Arabidopsis thaliana: one gene and its partner. The protein of the gene in region 1 interacts with the protein of each later gene in a pairwise test. Each region holds a gene or a part of one and is shown in the gene's direction. Other genes may lie near its edges. The genes, in order: MEE18 and AT2G24860.

Region 1 (5,360 bases):
GAGCCAACACTGGGCTATGCGTGGTATGTGTTTTATATATAGTATATATTACATTATAGTTATTGTAAATACCATTAAATTAAAGTAGCTAGAACATCAGCACTTTTTTGGTTTCTTGACTGACAAGTATCATATTGATTTTCTTGGCAGCTTCAAAATTCCCAGAGAGTTTCACTCAAGCACAAGGTGGTGATGATTGTTATGAAAATTATGGTGATGGTGCTGATGGTATTGATGATGATGATTATGATGAAGAGAATAGTGTAAGTTTGAAGCACTTTTCCCATTTTCATATCAAAGCTCATTAACTAGAATAAGTAAATCACCATGGATTTTGTATAACGGAATTTTGGTAAATTTAATTAGTTGCTACTTTGTTTATTGTCTCTGACTGAATCTTTCTGATATAGGAATCGAGTTTGAAGTGGAACTGTGACTATCAGCTGTTAAAGAGTGGCTACTTGTCTTTCGATGAAGAAGAAGAAGAGGATAATGACGATGAAGAAGATGTTGACATTTTCTCCGAAGATAGTGATGATTCATGGAATGAGGATTTTGATGATGAAGATGAAGAAGCGGATACTACAGTTTTTAAATATTCCGAAAACATGTCGGAGCTTGATTTGGGATCAGCGACGAATTATACCCCTAGTTCCTACGATCATCGTAATGAAAAAGATAGTGTAAGTTTTTGTGTAGCAGTTTTTTTCACATTTTTATACCTATGCTCATACAAAAACTAGGAAAATGATCATCTATGAAATGTTGTTATTTTAATCAGTTGCTGATTTGGTTATTGTATTTGTGATTAGGGTTCAAGTTTGACGTGGAAAGGTGGTTATCAGCAGTTATATAATGTTGACACGTCTTCCGACGAAGAAGATGAAGAATCATGCGATGAGGAGGATGATGAAGCTGGGGAATATCACTCTGAAGAAGCGATGGAGATGTCGCGCGAGCAGAGAATGAGCGAGCTAAGGAAAGTGCTTCATGACGATGAAGATGACGTATCACAAGGATTTGTGAATGTGAGGCGAGAGACAATTGCGAAGAATACGGAATTTGGTGAGGTCGAGACCCTTTTACCAGATGGTGATTGGGTTTATGTGAAGAGTGCTTAGGGCTCTGATCTTTTGGCAAAAAATGTGTGTGATTTGATCGAGTTTATACTTTACATCGGCTTTAATGATATTTATTTGTGTAGTTTTTTGAGTGTTTCATTCGTTTTTCACAAGGCTTATGTCACTCTATTAACTTGGGGTTTAATACCAAATAGTGTACTTTTTCTTATCATTATTGTTTGTCTTCTTTGCCATTCGATCATGTGATCTTTTAGATTATCTTAAGGTACCTTTCCAGTGGAATCATCGACATTTGGTCTATACATGTATTTTGAGCTCAAACACTAATGCAAAACCACAATCCCACCAAAATCGATTTAACACTAGTTTTGGTTTATTGGACCAAACCAAGTAGAAAACCAACAAAACCACCAGTACCGTGATTATTTTCTTTTCTAACGCGTAATAAATATCTTTTATGGCTTTATTATGCACTCTCATTGCGAAAAAAGAAAAATCCAAAGGCTTGGAAAATCGACAAAAACGAAAAGGGTAGTGGTGAGATGTTTCATCATTCTCTGTTTCAGTTCGGTAATGGCGGAGATTTGCTATTTTGGGGGTCTAGTCCATTATAAATCACCATCTCTTCCTTTGTCTCTTCATTCTCTCTTCCGCAGCAAGAAGCCACATTACTACAATTCCACTTCTCTCATGGCTGAATGTCTCTCCTCCTCCACCGTGGAGCCTCCTTCTCTCCTCGTCTTCTCAGGTTCCACTTTCTTCCTCTTCCTTGTTTCGTGGGTCTCCCTAAAGTTACGATTTTTATGTCGATAAGATCGTCTATTTGTGTTAGATCTTGACCAATTACTTAGAATTTGACATTTGTTAATTCTGTTTGTTGCAAAGTGCAAAGCTTTATCATTGTCTTACATTGGTTTAGGTAGTTTTCTTTTGCTCTGAATTTTGGAAAACGTTATATTTGTTGCTATGAAGGTGGTACTGGATTTAATGGTGTGGTTGAAGAGTTGAAGAAGTTAACAACACGAGTCGCTCATGTTCTTCCTGTCTCTGATGATGGTGGAAGTACTGCTGAGATTGTTCGTGTTCTCGGTAAGTTTTAGAACTCACTAACATTGCTACAAGACCCAGATTATATATGTTTTAGCTTCTTTAAGTTTTTACCAGAAGTAATCTAAGCTCAATATCTCCGTTGCTATAGGAGGGCCAGCGGTTGGTGATATACGTTCGAGGTGTTTAAGGCTGTCTGATGAGAGTACTTCAGAGGCACTTGCTGTTAGGCGGTTGCTTGGCCATCGCTTACCTATTGATGCACATCAGGCCAAGAAAGATTGGTAATTTATCCAATGACTATGTTTTCTTTATGCACATAGTGTGGTCTACTCTATAAGCTACACATTTAAGGTTCTGTGGTGGACAATATTGTGTAATATACCATTGGCTGAGTTGGAACTTTGACAGGTACGATATTGTAGAAGGTAATCATTCTCTGTGGGATGGTGTATCAAGACCCTACAGTGAAACAATTCGCGCTTTCTTGATATACTTTCAGAATGAGGTAATGTTAACTGATACAGAGAAACATGTTTTTATTGGTTTCATATTTGATCAGTTCCAAGTTCCAACTTCTTGATTGTTTAAATTTTTCTTTACCTTAATATTCTGTCATTTCTTACTTGACATGTTTCTTATGATACAGATTCATAGGCGACCTAATGAGAGATTTTGCTTCAGTAATGGAAGGTATTGAAGATCTTTTTCTCGGCTTCAACTGTGTATTATTTTGTTCGCCTGTTTAGTAACTCACTTATGATTGTTTCCTTCTTGTAGCATTGGGAACTTCTTCTTTGCAGGAGCAAGGATATTTTTCCAGTCTTTAGATGCTGCAATTTTTCTGTTTTCACGTGTTTCAGAGATTCCTTGTGACAGTTTGGTCCTCCCAGTGATATCAACCAATGATAGGCTAACACTAGGATGTGAATTACAGGTATGAAGCTTGATCTCTATTTGAATTCCCGCAGCTAGCTTATGGAATCCCATTCTTGTCCACAAATATCGCAGCTAAAGCATCATTATTTGCGGGAAGAAGTATCGCTTTCTATACATAAATCTTGGCTGTCGCTTCACTGGCCATCTTCTTGGTTTAAACAATTAATGGCAAGATTGAGGTGGCAAATTTGTTCGCAAACTAACAAGTTATGACTTTAATTTGTAGGATGGGACTATAATACGCGGACAGAACGAAATTTCTCACCCGACCACTGGGACTACGCAGACAGTTGACAAGGTGTTCTATTTGAATATCTTACATTGGTGTTTTTTGATGATCACGAGAACTAAGTTTACTATATACTTGTATCAATTAAAAATGTCAATTTTGCCATATGTAGAATTTATTTTCTTACATTGTCTTTCTATGTTTCTAGTAGAGACATTGTTCTACTTCCGCTCTCCCATCGAAGATAAAGAGAGTGTTTTACATGTCAAGTGAAGGCAATAATCTGCTTCATGAGGTTAACTACTCTGCTTTTATATATACAGAATGTCCTAGATATCTTCAATGTTATCTCTAATGATTCTGATTCCCTTTAAGAAACTCTATCGTTTTAGTTCTCTACTTCATTTCTTTGTTTTGCACGGTGTATTTGACATTGCAAATGTTTGGTGTTATGTCCATTAAACAGGTCTTCCCACCAGTTAACCCAACTGTCCTAGAGCAGTTGAGAAGCGTGGACTGTATCGTTTACGCAATGGGATCCCTGTTCACTTCCATTTGCCCATCACTGGTTAGCACCCGCAATAAATATGTTGTGCAAAAATGGTGGATTACTAAATTTGTGATAACTGTTATAGACAAGTCTTTCTGTTCATCAGGTTTTGCTTGGTGTTGGGGAGATTATCTCTTCCAGGTCATGTCGTAAGGTATGCTGAAGCTTGTCAAAAATACTAATGATGGTAAAAATCAATCTGATTTCTTCTCTCTGTCACAGGTACTTCTTTTGAACGGTAGCCAAGACCGAGAAACAAGCAGGTTCACCGCTTCCTGCTTTGTGACTGCTATCGCTGACGCTCTCAACAGAACTCATGGAGATACTAATATTCGGCTCAAGAATCCCGTGAGTGGTTCTTCACAATCCACACTCTTTCGATGTCTTCTTTATCAGACATATATCGATATCCAAGAACATCATTTTTGTGTGCAGCCTGGATATTACATCAACACTCTCTTGGTCCCGAAAGATGGAGAAATAGCAGTAGATCTCAAACAATTGTCTGAACAAGGGATATATGATGTTGTCAGTATCTCTTTCCTTCACTTGTTTCCAAGTTTATGTGCACAACAAACACTCACTGTTACCTCCACTCTATTGCAGAGAGTCGTGGAGAGTGTTGGTGACCCGAAGCACGGTATCTTGTTCAACCCGAGCTCACTGATAAACACACTGGCCGGTTTGGTGGAGTAAATAGTGATTCTTTAGGCCAGAGCTAGTTTCTTCTTCTACGCAATTGGGACCATGATTTTTTTGTTACTGTTTAGTTTGATCCTTTAGTGAATTGATATGAAAGGTTATGAATGGTCAATGATCATATTCTTAGCTAAGGAAAGACAAACGCCTCTCTTTCTCTCGGAGTTGTATCATATGTTTTTTCTTACACGTTTTACATATAACTACTGTACAGATGAATACAGTTCACTTTCCAATGAAACCAAATGATGACATTTCTACATAACTATGTGTGCTTTTCATTCCCAAACAAGCAAAGGCATCTTTGTTTCTCACTGTGTATTAACATGTGTGCTTTTACTAAAAAGATGTATTAAAGCAAAGCAAATGATGCCAGCAACAAACAGAGCGTGCCCTGAGATTGGTAGGGCCCTAAGCCCATACAACTTTGTTGGCCCTTTCAGTTAAGTTTAGAAAAGAATCACTTGTTCAATAACCAATGTTAATTGTTGAAAGATGAATTTAACCGAAGATTTCTTTACAAGTTTTTGACACAGTGATCATAATTTTATAATGCTCACAAGTAGCAGTACGTGACTCTTGTAAGTCAAGTAGAGAGACATAAATATACCAAAATATTAAACTTGTATGATGACAATGACGCATCCATTTGAGCCCATGCTTCATTGCTCCTCCATTCAGTGATTGGGCAGACATATAATATGTATTGTTTTAGACACTTTGTTTCTAGTCATTCGTTGCGGAAATGACAAACAAATCAACTTTTTAACAGAATTTATTACAAAAATATGTAAAGTACACGCCAAAAGAAAAA
Region 2 (4,417 bases), 3.8 Mb from region 1:
CATATTGGAAAATCGATTAATTTGCATAAAATGTATGATTGGTTAAATTATGTTTAACAATCTACCTAAGAACAAAAAATATTTTATCTTATCATCTTGAAACAAGAAAATTTACCATTCTTCTTTTCCTTCTTCCCCTTTTCTTCTAGTTTTTATCATTCAAAAGCAATCTCATAATATTTGGTTTTAATACATTTCACAAACCATCTCTAATAACAAAATTCAAATTTCTTGAAATCCCAATTGTAATCATAAAAACTAGTCACAATGGCTATTACGAGAGGCTATTTAAAGGACAATTTCGATTATAAATCCAAAATGTAATTCAAATCCGAATTGTAATCATAAGAAATCCTAATTGTAATCAAAATTTTATCCAAAATCTATCCGTTTCACCCAAAATCAAAGAAAAAAGGATCAAACCATCAAATCTAATATGAAATAAAATCCTAATTAAATACAACACAATCAATAGAATGAAACCTTAAATAAAATCCTAATTAAACACAACACAATCAATAGAGTGAATTAAAATCTTAATTAAACACAACACAACATAATGGTTGGATCGTAAATAAGTGAAAACCCCTTGTTTTATTTGTCTTTTACTATTTTTTGGAGAAAAAAAACTAGATAAACATATTTTTTTTTTTATAATGGGAGCTAAATAGAGAATGTTTTAACCCGAGAGGCCCGAGTAGATTAAAATCCGAATTCAACCTTTTCGGCCAAGAAGAAGAAGAAGGAAATGGCGATTTGCATGTGTTGCGATTCACATCTTGTAAAAAAATCGATTATGAATCCATGGAATTTGCGGAGTAGAACGAAACTAGGGTTTGTACTGGTCGTTTGCCGTTTTCCGACTACTACTACTTTCAAGGCTTCGGCGGTGGATTCACCTGAGAGTTCTTTAAATTTCACCAAGCATATGGATCAAGCTTGGATAATCTCACAGGTTCGTATCTTTCGAGAGTTGTTGAGTTTGTTGAATTTGAGTAATCACAAGAACGTTATTACAAGAACAAAATGTATAAACCTAATTTAGTTTGTCTTTCTCTACTTAGTTGTTTATTGTACTTTACAAATTGTCTATTACTTTTAAAAACAAATACTTTATTTACTAATAGGTTACATAGATAGTATGATATGATTTATAGAATAACCAGTTTATTATTGAGGATTTTTTTATGCACAATTGAATTTCTTAGTTATCATTTGATCTTTCACATAAGGTTTAATATTATCTACAACTGGTTACTTGATTTTATCATTTTTTTCATAATTCAATATTAATAGATTTATGTATATCTAATATGATTATTATAAGATATTATGCCATTTTACATACTATGCCAACAATAGTAATACAAATGTGTGCATATATAAAATCTGAAACACAAAAGCCAATAACAAAGCAAAAATCTAAATATCTACCCAAAAAAAATGAAAAACTGTTTAGTCTTTTTTATTCGTTTTTAGTTTTTGCATGCTTGACCATGTATTCGGCTCTGGAATCAGGATCACCAACGAACTCAAATTCAATAAACTTCTCAGGATTGGATGTTATTCCAAAGATGACAAATTTGGTCCAAAAACAATACCAATCGGCAAACATGTTGAAATCAATTTTATGATTAATTTTTGGCGTACGACGCGTTTTATGTGTCATTTGGAACAAGGACCTAACTATAAACATTATCAGAAATTTACAGCATTCAAGCTTTCTGGTTTTATGGATGAAGGAGGTATATGGGACTGGAGAGCAAGAGAAGATGGAATCTATTTAGACAAAGAAGGCGGCAAACATATTGGAAAATCGATTAATATGCATAAAAGTGTATGATTGGTTAAATTAAAAATATTTAACAATCTATGTAAGAACAAAAAAAAATGTTATATTATCATCTTAAAACTAGTAAATTTATACATAGAAAAAAATTATTTTCTCAATCATATAAGCAAACCAAAAACAAACAAGCAATCTGGATTTTGTTTTGACTGTAGGAAGAATCCAAGGAATTGTAGAGGAGATAATGAGTTGGTTTAAATCATTGAATCAATCATTTTAGCAAACAAAAAGATCCAACTTTAATGGGCCCAGGGTCCAATAACCCAATTGGGTTATTCCTAGACTTTTCTCCTCCTCCTGTTGTCTTCCAATTTGGTATGCGAGAAAAATAAAATAAAATAAAAATAAGCCAAAGACAAATTTAAACCTCCGATTTCAACCTTCTCGGCGAAGAAGAAGAAGAAGAAGAGAAAATGACGATTTGCATGTGTTGCGATTCACATCTCGTAGCGAAATCGATTCTAAATCCATGGAATTCTCCTAGGATAACGAAGCTAGGTTTCGTACCAGTCGTTCGCCGTTTTCCAGCTACTACTACCGTCAAGGCTTCGGCGGTGGATTCACCTGAGAGTTCTTCAAATTTCGCCAAGCGTATGGATCAAGCTTGGATTATCTCACAGGTTCGTATCTCCAGAGAGTTGTTGATGTGTATAATTTTGTTGAATCTGAGTAATCACAAGAACTGATCCTTGATGTAGTCATGTACGAGTGAAGAGCTATATGCAATTTTGTATGAGATTAAGAACTTGGATCTGTGATGAAATGTTGTAAATTTCAGATTATGAGGTGAATAGTATCAGCAAGTTTCAAAAGGATTTGTATCGAAAATCTGTAATTGCAAAGTACCTTTTAGTTGGTTTCTAGCAAAAAATGTTTGTTCACAATTCATTTGATTTGTGCATATGATGAGAACATGTTAGCTACTTAATCAGGTTGTAGCTGTTCTCTATGATCCCTGAGTGATGAGGCTTAAGCAGGCTTATCTCGCAACGCAATGTAGTTTTGTAGCTTTGCATGTACAATTGTTGGATTCTCTGCTTTTTCTCTAATATTGCTCTTAGAGAATCTATCAAAAGTTCAGACTTTGAAGCCTTTCTTCTAGCACTTGCAATTTGATATTGAGCTCGTGTGAATTTTCTAGATGTTACTTGTTGACCTGTGTTTCGATTCAATGATTTTCTTTGTCTGTTTTTTTCTTCACTGCAGCAACCAAGTCCTGTTGGATGTTCATCGTGCAATTCAAAGGGTCATGTGGAATGCAAATGGTGTGCGGGTACAGGATTCTTCATCCTTGGTGATAACATGCTTTGCCAGGTTCCCTCAAGGAATACTTCATGTGTAATCTGCTCTGGACAGGTTTGTTATCTAATAAAAACGAAAGTGCAGACACATTATTGTGTCTTCTTGTTTATATATCTTCCCAAGTATGAACAAATTCGATTCTTTCAATGGTTTTAGGGTTCTGCTAGCTGTAGCGATTGCAAAGGAACGGGGTTTCGTGCCAAGTGGTTGGAAAAACCTCCAGTGCCAACATAACTGATGAACAAAAGCAAGTTAAGCTTTTTGGTCTTTGATGATTTCTTATGGAGGAAAAATGTTTATATATTGATTCAAGTGGAACATGAATCAGATATGCATATATCTTTATACATGTGTTAAGTATATATATGTAAGTTCATTTATTCATTTCCCCTTGTTCTGTCTGTACAACCAAAGGCCTACACAAGAGTTCTTGTAATCGACACGTGAGTTTTACGATTTCGATCATTGGAGTAGCTCAACGGAAGAACATTAGTAGCACAGGGTCACCTTCGTATTTCTTTTGATATTTTCTCGTTGTAGGGTTAAATCATGTGCATCTTCCTTACCCTTGATGAATCTGGATATGGCGTTTCTCTAATAGAATTGCGATTATCATCATCTTAGATACAGTTTGTGCCTAACAAATCCAACCTAAGCTAGTTACTTAATCATTTTCTTTTGGGGAAGTGAAAATGGCATTTGATTTCAGGATAATTCTTAACCAAAGCTGCTAAGTGAAGAACTTGTGTCAGTGTGCATTCCATTTCCCAAGTGATGAGGAAATCTTCAAAAGTGTTCATGTCTAGAGTGTAAGAGGGCACTCGAACACAGTGGTTCGCCGTTTCCTCCATTATATATACCTCTACTTTGCCCCTTTTAGTTTTACTTGTCACAAAACTTTCCAGATACATATTTACTGCACAAAAACTAAATTATTTTGAGTAAAAATTACCAACGCACCAGCAGGTTATTTTTTTTTATTTTTTTTACGGTGTATTGAAGAAAATTTCAAAACTACATAATCGTAAATAAGAGTTTTATTAAATTTTACACAATTAGATGCATTTTTTCATCTGATCCAACTTTCTATATCTCTTCTTTTTTGTGAAACTGTATTTTTAGAAAAATAATGTGTTTTTGACGGAAAATTTGGTGGATTGATTTGGGTTAACCCCTTTTGACACCCCTTAGTTCCACTAATAGTTTTTTTATCCTACACATAAATTTCTATAAACTTTTGTAATCAGATATAGTCACATACATATG

The links.
Region 2: the proteins of MEE18 (region 1) and AT2G24860 interact in a two-hybrid assay, tested with the Arabidopsis thaliana proteins (one large-scale study listed by BioGRID).

What each region holds. Positions count from the first base shown.
Region 1 is NC_003071.7:14,395,466-14,400,825, reverse strand, and holds MEE18 (maternal effect embryo arrest 18), read left to right. Parts: upstream 1-1,550; coding exon 1,551-1,830; intron 1,831-2,054; coding exon 2,055-2,171; intron 2,172-2,280; coding exon 2,281-2,413; intron 2,414-2,525; coding exon of another isoform or gene 2,526-2,540; coding exon 2,541-2,637; intron 2,638-2,778; coding exon 2,779-2,822; intron 2,823-2,909; coding exon 2,910-3,066; intron 3,067-3,294; coding exon 3,295-3,366; intron 3,367-3,508; coding exon 3,509-3,592; intron 3,593-3,763; coding exon 3,764-3,865; intron 3,866-3,953; coding exon 3,954-4,001; intron 4,002-4,069; coding exon 4,070-4,195; coding exon of another isoform or gene 4,196-4,282; coding exon 4,283-4,543; downstream 4,544-5,360. Other genes in the region: AT2G34100 (nonsense-mediated mRNA decay-like protein), read left to right, coding at 1-23, 151-263, 411-683, 813-1,121.
Region 2 is NC_003071.7:10,586,086-10,590,502, reverse strand, and holds AT2G24860 (DnaJ/Hsp40 cysteine-rich domain superfamily protein), read left to right. Parts: upstream 1-2,086; 5' UTR 2,087-2,262; coding exon 2,263-2,469; intron 2,470-3,055; coding exon 3,056-3,205; intron 3,206-3,307; coding exon 3,308-3,385; 3' UTR 3,386-3,860; downstream 3,861-4,417. Other genes in the region: AT2G24870 (Plant self-incompatibility protein S1 family), read left to right, coding at 929-955, 1,703-1,843.